2 linked regions of the Caenorhabditis elegans genome follow. The protein of the gene in region 2 interacts with the protein of the main gene of each other region in a pairwise test. Each region holds a gene or a part of one and is shown on either strand. Other genes may lie near its edges. The genes, in order: scpl-1 and lim-9.

Region 1 (4,905 bases), 870 kb from region 2:
AGTGGGATTTCCAGAAAAAAAAAACAATTTCCGCAATTTTTTCGTAGTTAATTCCGATATTTTCAGATTTTTTGTGGATTGAAATAATGCAAAAATTCGAAATTTCTACTTTCAAAAGTACATGTTTCTTGAAACATTTCAATAAATGCACAATTTCTTTCCAATGTTGTGCATTTTCAGAAGAAACCAATGTACCTGTGTGATAAGCTGAATGGGTGGTCCTGTATTTGTTGGTGTAGATGGTCTTCCATTCTGATGATTGTTGTTTGTACTGTTCGTTCGTTGGCTTGATTGTATCTTTTCTGAAAATTTATGAATATTTTCTCCAATTTTGTTAGAATTTCATTCAATTGCCGAAATTTGGTTACGGTAATTGTTGTTAAAGGTGGAGTACTGAAATCTAAGAAATATTTTTAATTGACTCAAAATTTGCCCCTGATTCCGAATATTTATGTGAAAAAAATATAAATCAAATATAACATCAGATAATTTTTTTGAATTTTTTCACACATTCGTTATTCAGGGGCAATTTGGAGTCAATTAAAAATAATTCCCAGATTTCGGTATTCCACCCTTAAGATGATTTTTTGTGATATCTGATCACTGAGCAGTTGCCTCATGCATGCTCATCGGAAAATCATTAAATTTTATTTATCTCTACACCCACAAAACTTTAAAAAAAAGTTCATGTTCATAAATCATAGTTCTTTGTGAAAGGCGTTGTGCCAGGAATCGAGTGGCACCAGATGTTTCGAAAGGATCCGAAAATCCAACTGTGCGGGGGTTCTGATCATCTTTTTTCGTTGAAATTCGAGATAAGAAAGAAAATGATGATATTTTCTGATGAGCAGCGAGGAAGAAAATGTCTGGGAAAATAATATTCTTTGTTTCAAAGTTGTCAATTTTGACATCGATGATTTGACAAGGACAGATTCTGTCTGGGAAGAGTTCCAAAGTATTGTTTTTGAAATGATTGTTCCTATTTTGCAAAAATGAAAAATACGGCAGAATTCAATTTAAATTCCCGCGCAAACGAGTGACATTTTTCAGGAATTCTTCTGTAAAGAAAACCTAGTAATCGGAAGAAAGAAAATCGCTGAGAAACTTTCCAAACAAACAATTTTAAATAATCATTAACAAATCAATACATTTTTCTATCGTTATATGCGTTATTTTTGAAAGTTCTAAATTTGTTCTTTTGGTATTTCTGAATTTCTGAATATCTTGGATAATTTAAAGCCGTTTTTGGTATTTCAAAATCCCTAATACTAATTTTTAATGCTACTTTTAAAATGTTAAACGAGATTTTTTTCCTTCATTTCTCATATGCAAACATTGAAAGTTCAAAAAGTTGCGGTACTCCCTCCGACCGTGAGCTGCGTATTTATGCATGACACATTGCCTGAGGGGAGATTATTTGCAAATAAATCAAAACCAGCTGCCCTCGCCTTTTTTTCCTTTTTCGCAAAAGTTCAACTCACTTTGCTGTCTATCGACAAGTTTGATAGCCGCGTTCGTAAATCGGAAAATATTGGCGAATTTCGGGGTAAAGGAGAAATTATGAGTTTTTTTTTTGAAATATTGAAATGCACACAAGAATGGGAAATCAGAAGCGTGGGGTGGTTTCCGACTGATGATTGAAGTTTTTGATGGATAAAAATGAAAGAGATGGAAGATTTGGTGTAATAACTGGAACACTACCACTGAAGAGAAAGAGAAATAAAGAAAAAATGAAGATGAAAACACTCATTTCGTTTTCTAGAAAACATAAAAGCGGCGTTATTAATTACTCGAAATTTTGAACTTTTCTATGATTAAGAACATTTTTCAATTGTTAAATAATAGAAGATAGTCTAAAATTATCGAATATGCCTATAAAGTGTTTAAAATTTTGTCTTTTTTTTTGCAAAACTTTCAAATTTTCGCACAAACTGGTTACTGTAACAAGACCAAATTTCCTTTTTTTCTTTAGCTTTTTCTTGTGGAAATTTTCAAAAAAAAATTTTTAACATGTCTTTATATTAAATTTTTCTGGAATTTCAAAAATTTGTCGCTTAAAATAAACAAAACAATTTTTTAAAATTTTTTCAGTCTATTTTGTTATAGGAAAGTGTGAAAAGCATACAGAAATTCCAGGAAATTTTTTTTACAAATAATGTTATTTAAAAAAATTTATTGAGTTACAGTAACCGTTTTTGGTGGCAATTTAACAAATAATTCAGAAATTTGAAAAAAAATTTGCAAAATTGAAGGAAAACTCCCGAAAAAAGATAAATTTTTGTAGTCAAATTGGATCATTTCAGACTACATCCATTTTCTCTTCAGAAATTGAAAATTCATTTTTTTAATTAAATTTTTTTTAGTGAACTCTTGGAGCATTCTACATAACTTAAATAACCCCAAATTTTTAAAAGAATTTTGATAATTTTAAAATGAAAAATCACATACCAATCTCTCTGGGTGGAGTCACACAACAGAAAAGTGTCTGAAAACAGCGTGCCCATCTTGGTTTCCTTCTCGCTGTTGATCGCTTTTTCTCGATTGATGCTGAAACTGATACAAAATATTAATTACAAAAAAAAAAACAATTCAGTTTATTTTTAAATTAACTTTTCACATTCCCGGTTATCTCACCATTGGCTGAAAATGAATTTAACGGTGTACTAGCCGTATCATCATCTTTTCTTGATGTTCCACCCCAAACTACATTTTTTGGGTTTTCTCCTCCACCATCTCGATTCATTTTCCCTCCATTTTTCTCATCTTTTGTAAGTTTTGCACGTGGCATTGCGGGAATATTACGGTAGATTCCAACTGGAGGACTCATCACAGATTCTGGTGTATTCTGTGGAAATGGTGGATATCTAAGACCATTTTGTGGTGATGATGTCGATGGTGTGAATCCATTTATTGTTGACCTTCCCACAGGATTTGGTTTTACAGGTTTCATTTTCCTCTGTGGTGGTGGAAATTGAATATTATGACGACTGTAGTAACACGTTATTCCAGACTTTTCATCTTCCGATTTACTCCAATAGTCCAAACTGTTGGCACCGTTTTTTGGTTGAAGTGGTTGCGATGCGGATCCTTTCCGCACGCCATCTTTCAACATCGGCGGACCAACTGGAGTACGTGGTGGAGGCACAATCGACGAGTAGACGACGGCGGATCGAGTCGATTCAGCGTAGGTCATCCGATGATTATGATGACTGGGGAAGAAGGTGGATGATGGAGGATCGACGAGATATTTCTTGAAATAAGGAAATGGGGTTTTGGAATATGATAAGTTTGATGTTCGAAGAGAAATAGAGATTAATAAGAAAATTGAAGAAGTAGAATATTTGAAACATTACGAAGTGGGCGGAAATCGTTTTTTTTAAATCAATTCGATAATCGACAATTCGAATTTTTTAGAAAAATGATTCAAAAAAATTAATGATCAAAACTTATTAAAAATATGAGGATTTTGATCTCTGGTAATCGGAACTTTTTTCCGATAACTATTGTCAAATTTCAAATTTTCAAAATTTTATTCATTTCCGAATAATAGAATTGCCGCCCAAACTCTAGACATATTGAGAGAAAGAAAAAATAATAAAAATATGAGGAAACAATTTTGTTATTGTTGAAAAGTCCATGGCAAGAATTTATGGGGAAGTGGTTGGCTAATAAAAAAAACAGACAGGTGTGTGTTTTGATGGGAGAGTCTCTGGAGAGAACTAAATCTGTTTTCTTGTCTCACATAAGATACATAGAATGTTTGTTCGTTTCAACGCATAAACGGGGCAAAACCCAAACATATCTAATTTCAATGGTTTTAGAAACATTGACATTCAAGGGGTTTCAGAGGTGAAAAGAGCAGAGAACAAAGAAGAAGAAAAAGAAGAACTAGCTTCTTCAGAAACACAAATTATCTGAGGTATCCCGAGGGCAGAGGTGAAGTGCTTGTTGAAATGAGCACGCAAACTACTCTCTTTCTGTTTCTCTTTTCTCGTATCTTTCCCCTAAATCATCTGCTGCTCCCAGAGCACAGTCTGGTTATTGCAAAGAACGCGGCGCCTTCCGTGCGCGCTGCTGCCAAAATGTGCAAAAGAAGTGCTTGACAAAGAACAAATAAGCATTGCCGTATGCCGTATGCCGCGTGAGGGTAAAGGCGCGACGTGTGTGTATATACCATAAGTAATATAAACTTGCTGCTCACTTCAACGAGTACTTGCTCACCGATTAGTGGCGGATCATGAAGGGCGCGGAAGTCGGCGGCAGGTCTCACATGTTGGCAATGTGCCAATCACGTTGAGCTTTTGAAAAGCAACGCCCAGAGAGCTCAAAAGAGCTGCTACTGAACATAAAAATAGATTCGGGTGCATGAGGTGGACGTCAATCATCATAATAAGAGTTTATATACACGCTTTTAGAAAGAAATAAGGACCACGATGAAAGGAAATGTCGTGGAGCAAAAGAAAGGAGCAGGCGTCACTCAACAAGGTCGCTCTCACGGCGACTTTCTTCACGCTTCAAATGGCTTTTCCTTTGATGGACTCGATTCATGATGGAGCAGGAAATGGGAAAATAAATATTTAGAGAGGTCAAGGGTCTCCAGAAAAATATTCAAAAATACCTTATGGTCTAAAAAGCTATGCCATTGTTTTTCACAAGAATTACATCGCTTCTCTCGGTTACCAAGGAAACCTTTTGAAACGGATTAACGGTAATAGAATTCAGAATATTGTGCCTCGTGTGTACTTTAAAATTAGATATTTAAATATTTTTCCATATTCTATTTCCCTTCGAAAAACATCCAAAATCTGCTCAGAAACGTCTTAAAAGAAATTCAAAAAGCAATAAAACTCACAAGATTTGTTGTTTTGAACGTGTCTGGTGGCCGCCGCAAAACAACAAACACTT
Region 2 (4,982 bases):
GTTGAACAATTCCAACAATTTTTTTCCAAAACTTTCCTAACATGTTTCGACTACAAAATTAATTAGTTCTGAAAATTTCAGTGAAAACCAATATTGTTTAAAAAAAAACGTTATCTATATAACTCTTAAAATGGCACCAAAAAAGCCGGATATTTTTAACAAAAAAAGTACTTTTCAGATGTTTTACTGTCTTAACCGTATTTCTGTCGCGTGCAATGAGTCACATTTCTGAGAAAATAAATTCGAATTCCAAAATTGATGAAATACGAGCACAGTATTTAATTTTTTCTTAATATTTTCGGACGTTTTTACTATTGAAGTCAATAATGAATAAGGTGGGAATTTTTTTTTTCACGCTTTTTTAAAGTTGAATTTTCCAAAACATAGTTTGGGAATTAGCATGTTAACATTCGTTATGTTTTCGTATACATTCAAGATAACTAAACTTTACTTTTAGCTAAATTAAAATCGAAGAAATAAAATTTGTTCAACCACCAAACTAAAGATCAATCGTATCATCAATTAAACGAAAAGTCAAAAAAAAAAAGGGTTCCAATTGGCACACTTTTTTGAGATATCATGTGATATGACACTGATAACTACTAATTGACAGTATGATTCAGAGAAAGGAACAAGAAAAAGAAAATGATGTTGCAATAAGGAAATGAACGTTTGCAAGAAAAAGATGTACTTTTAAAGTGGGAAGTACAATACTTTGAATTAGTTGAATAGAAATTTTGGGAGAAGCTTGAATTCAGTATGAAGCTTATTAGACCAGCCAAAACGTAAAGATTTCTTTTTTAATAAAAAAGAAAATGCAATTACTGATAACATAGAGAATAACTGAAATAAATACGTACCTTTGATTGAGGTGTGTCATCGTAAACTTCCACGATGATCGGAGATGCTTGTTTCTCATTCTTCTGATCTTTTCGTTTTCCATCACTTTTTTGAATAATTGAATTAGAAGATGTTGGCCGGGGCGATGAAGATGTTGGAGGTGGTGGAAGAAGTTCCAATCTTTTTTTTGTTTCTCCGATATCTATTGCTCTTTTTGTGTAATGATCTTCTTTTTCCTGTTTAAAAAATTTAAAAGTTAGAAAGAATTCGAAGCAAATTTTACTTTTTTTAATTTTTTTTTAAACAAGCTGAAATTGTTGTCTACAATATGATGTCTAGTCGGATAGCATGTGTCGTGCAAGATTTTGAGGGAAATGGCCGACACAATACGTCTTTTAATGGAACAACCATTGTTTCAGGTATTGTGATTTTGAATGAAAATATCCAACCTGCGCATTATTATTTTCCGGCATATCATAGATATCAACCACTTCGGTGTTTTTTGAATAACACGAGCACAATAATTTGTGAAGAGCTCCATGAGCAGATGGCATTACTCCGTCTTGAGCGATTCTGAAAATTAAATAATTTAAAACATTTTCCAATAAAGTGAATGGCTAAACATTAAAACATGTTTCTGCTGTTTGCAATTAACTTTCAATTTTCGACTAAAACTTATCGTAAGCTCTCTCAAAATAGGTATGAAATTGAAAAAGGAAATAGGCAATATTACTTTCAAAGTGTCAAAATATTTTCTAGTTTTTAATTCAAAGCCAAAAATGTTCTATCAGAATTATAATTTAATTTGCAAGTGGTAATTTGTTTTTAATTGGAGAAATTATTTTTGCAATGCAATAAAAAAATCGACTAGTTTTGAAATTGAAAATCAATAAATAAAATGAAAATCACGAGGGTTCAAAAACAAGAACAGAAATTTGAGAAATTCGTTCAAAAAACATTTAATTTCTCAAATTGTGTGTCACTATTAAAGGAAAGCCAGGGTGTGGTCACTTCATGATCATATCGAAAATTGCCAATTTTATGTTTATTTTCACTTTTTGAAGGAAGAGACGATTGGATTATGAAGATAGTGGATAATGACAACAAGATAATGAGAAAATATATTATGAAATGAGAAATATCATTTGGATTTGAGAGACTCAGAGATTCACACACACTTCCCGAATATGGCATATATATCAATTGATCTTCAATTGATTAGGTACTCTATTTGTGTTGCATAGTTATATATCGAGAAATATAAATTGTGTACCCCAAAAAGTACTCCGGGATATGTGCTACAAATACACTCCAACATGACTTTAAAAAATAATTAAACGCTTCAAAAAACTTTAGGTCGTTCAAAAATTTCTGTCAAAGTATTGGTGAATCGCTAAATTTTGACGGAAATTTATTGGTAAAAAAATTTCCACTTTTCGACTGCAAATAAAAATATCTTTCAAAGCTTTTTACATTTTAGCAACGAATTAATTGGTTTCAAACAATTTTCTTATAGGCGACGTTCCACATTAAATTGTATAAATGATATTGGCCAGTCGATTTGAAAGAACAAATAAGTCTCGAACATCTTCTTCCGGAAGATTGCAGAAAAGTGTGCCTTAAAACTGGCAGTTATGTCACTTGTAGTCATTTTGAAAAATTGATCACAGAAGGATTACAGCGGGGTTTAGAAGGAAGAAATGTAGAGTTTGAAAGGGTTCTTACTGGTTTCTAAACACTTTTTTTGAAGAGAATTTTGAACTCTTCTACTTTAAGTTTATTACCATGACTCTCCTGAAGTTTTAATATTACAAATAAATTATGCATAACTCCAGAATAAGTTTGGTGAACTTTCCATGATTGGACAAAAGGTCATACCCGAGAGAGAGAAACATCCAGATACAGTAACCCACACTTGACAATACCTAATTTTTGTCGTGTCTTTTAGAAGAAAAATGGCAAGATCTGGTTTTTTTGGTATCTAAATGGTTTACCGTTTTTTACACATTTTTATTGAATAAATAACTTCTCGAACACATTTTACAAAAGCTACTAATATGCCTTTATAAGTTTATGAATTCAAAAAAATTGGGTGGAAAGTATTATCTACTATTTTAAGATGTTTTTTTTCAGAGATCTATCCATAACTATCAATTTTCCATTTTGTGAAAAAAAAACTTACGAATCTAATTGATAGGCAAGAAGATATTTGAATGCATTTGACAATTCTCTTGGACCAACATTGTCAGACATATTACAGAGAGGGGGCCAAGTTGAAAAGAGTTCTACTTCTGTTAAGTACTTATTATATTAGTTCAAGTGTCTATTTGTATAGAATAAAATAAAAGAAAAAGAAAAATTTTGAAGATTTTCTACTTCTATTCCAAATGATCTTCTGACCATTTTCTTGAATACGAAAATCGGGAAAATGCGAGCACAATATCGGCCAAATTATATGCGTCTTTGACTTATTCTCGTGATTTTTCAACCAAACAATACCTCAAAAACTAATAATTAAAAAACTGTGTAAAGACAAAACATTGATAATATTGTCTAAATTGCTGCCAAATTGTTATTACGTAGACGTGCAATGGTCTCGCCATTCGAACAACGGGTTACTGTAACTCGTATTAATGTACGGGCCGCTATTGCACAATTATTTTTTCTAAATAAATCTTGTCAGTAATTTCTATTTTTGAAAATGATGATACAACTTTTAGTGACCCGTAAACCGACATGAGTTACAGAAACTCGTTTCCCACGTGGCGAGACCCATACGCGCCTTTAGAATTCAAAAACATGTGTTGCAAGAGAACATATACAAATCTATTCCTGTAGATGTCAGCCGCTTCAACTTTTTTTCCAGAGGAAAGCAAAATCTAGACAAAGTTATAATGAAAATCCTGTCTGGTAAGTTTTTTAAAATTACTACTTAAGTAGCTACTTTTGATTTTTTTTTGTTGTTGAAAAATCACCAACTTTTGGCCGGCACTGCATATAGCTGGAATTAATAAAAACTAATGAACAATATTTTAAAAATTCGGAAAAACGAGTACTACTTCTCTCAAACTTTCGAAAAAAACCATAAAAATTTTGAGTAGGCGGAGCAGGAGCCGAATGACGTGACAAAGTACAAAAAAGAGCAGAAAAAGATGGTCGGAGGGTTACTGTGTAATGCGAACGGAGAGTAAGACGAGTAACTATTTGCAAATCGGATGAGCCATCTGCTACGCAACAAGTGCAAAACTCAAAAATTTTAAAGAGGGAACAGAGAAAAATAGCAGACTTCTTGAATTTCTAAAAGTAGCTAAATTCATCATACTCTAAAAAAAACGGTAGTATTTAAAATCAAGTTTTTACTTCACAACAGACTTTAAGAAACAAATATGAAATACCAAAAAATCCAAATAAGCATCAGGTTGACTGATCTTATTGGTAAATATTCACATAAAAATAATTAAACCGTGTGTATTTTTTCACGATATGATACACAAAACGGTGGGATGAATTTAATATTTAACAGAGACTAATTTAGAGCATATCTTCGCATATGCTTTCCAATCTGACCAATTTATTCCGACACTCCTGATCCTTGACTTTTTTGAGCGACTGCTTGATTGAGTAGCTTGATGAAGAAAAACTCGATTGCTTTTTGTCTGGGAATCTTCTAGCAATTGAAGTCAAGGTGTTAATGATAGGAATAAACAATTCCTTGACTTCCGAGTGCTTCAGCATCAGTAGCATCAAGCGAGGCGACAAAATCTTCAAGTGAGGGAGAATATGCGAATTGGTGACTTCTTCGGGAATCTTCGTGAATAATTTTTCGAGAACATTCAATAATGGATGAAGAATGCTCGTATAAGAGAATCCTCGATCCGCCACAATCAAAACATCAGTGATCGACTTGATGCCATTCAGTTCGACGACAAGCTTTTCCAAAAGTGATGGAACAAGATCGGTGACTCGGTCTGCAAAATATGAACATTTCTATGTGTTGTATGGTTTTGCAATTGACGAAGAAAATCATCCATGGCGGCATATTCATAAACTTTTGGTTTCTATGACTTTCAGATCAAAAAGCAGCTTCTTCGTAATTTTCATTTGCGACATACCGATGACAGTTGCAGCAACATGAACGACGT

The links.
Region 1: the proteins of lim-9 (region 2) and scpl-1 interact in a two-hybrid assay, tested with the Caenorhabditis elegans proteins (one study listed by BioGRID).

What each region holds. Positions count from the first base shown.
Region 1 is NC_003279.8:10,091,231-10,096,135, forward strand, and holds the start of scpl-1 (CTD small phosphatase-like protein 1), read right to left. Parts: upstream 3,251-4,905; 5' UTR 3,194-3,250; coding exon 2,635-3,193; intron 2,548-2,634; coding exon 2,449-2,547; intron 1,549-2,448; exon of another isoform or gene 1,432-1,548; intron 303-1,431; coding exon 196-302; intron 1-195. UniProt on the Caenorhabditis elegans protein: Phosphatase which may play a role in the egg laying muscles.
Region 2 is NC_003279.8:9,217,636-9,222,617, forward strand, and holds the start of lim-9 (Protein espinas), read right to left. Parts: upstream 3,094-4,982; coding exon 3,023-3,093; intron 1,414-3,022; coding exon 1,290-1,413; intron 1,077-1,289; coding exon 861-1,076; intron 1-860. Other genes in the region: aspm-1 (Calponin-homology (CH) domain-containing protein), read right to left, coding at 4,372-4,808, 4,953-4,982.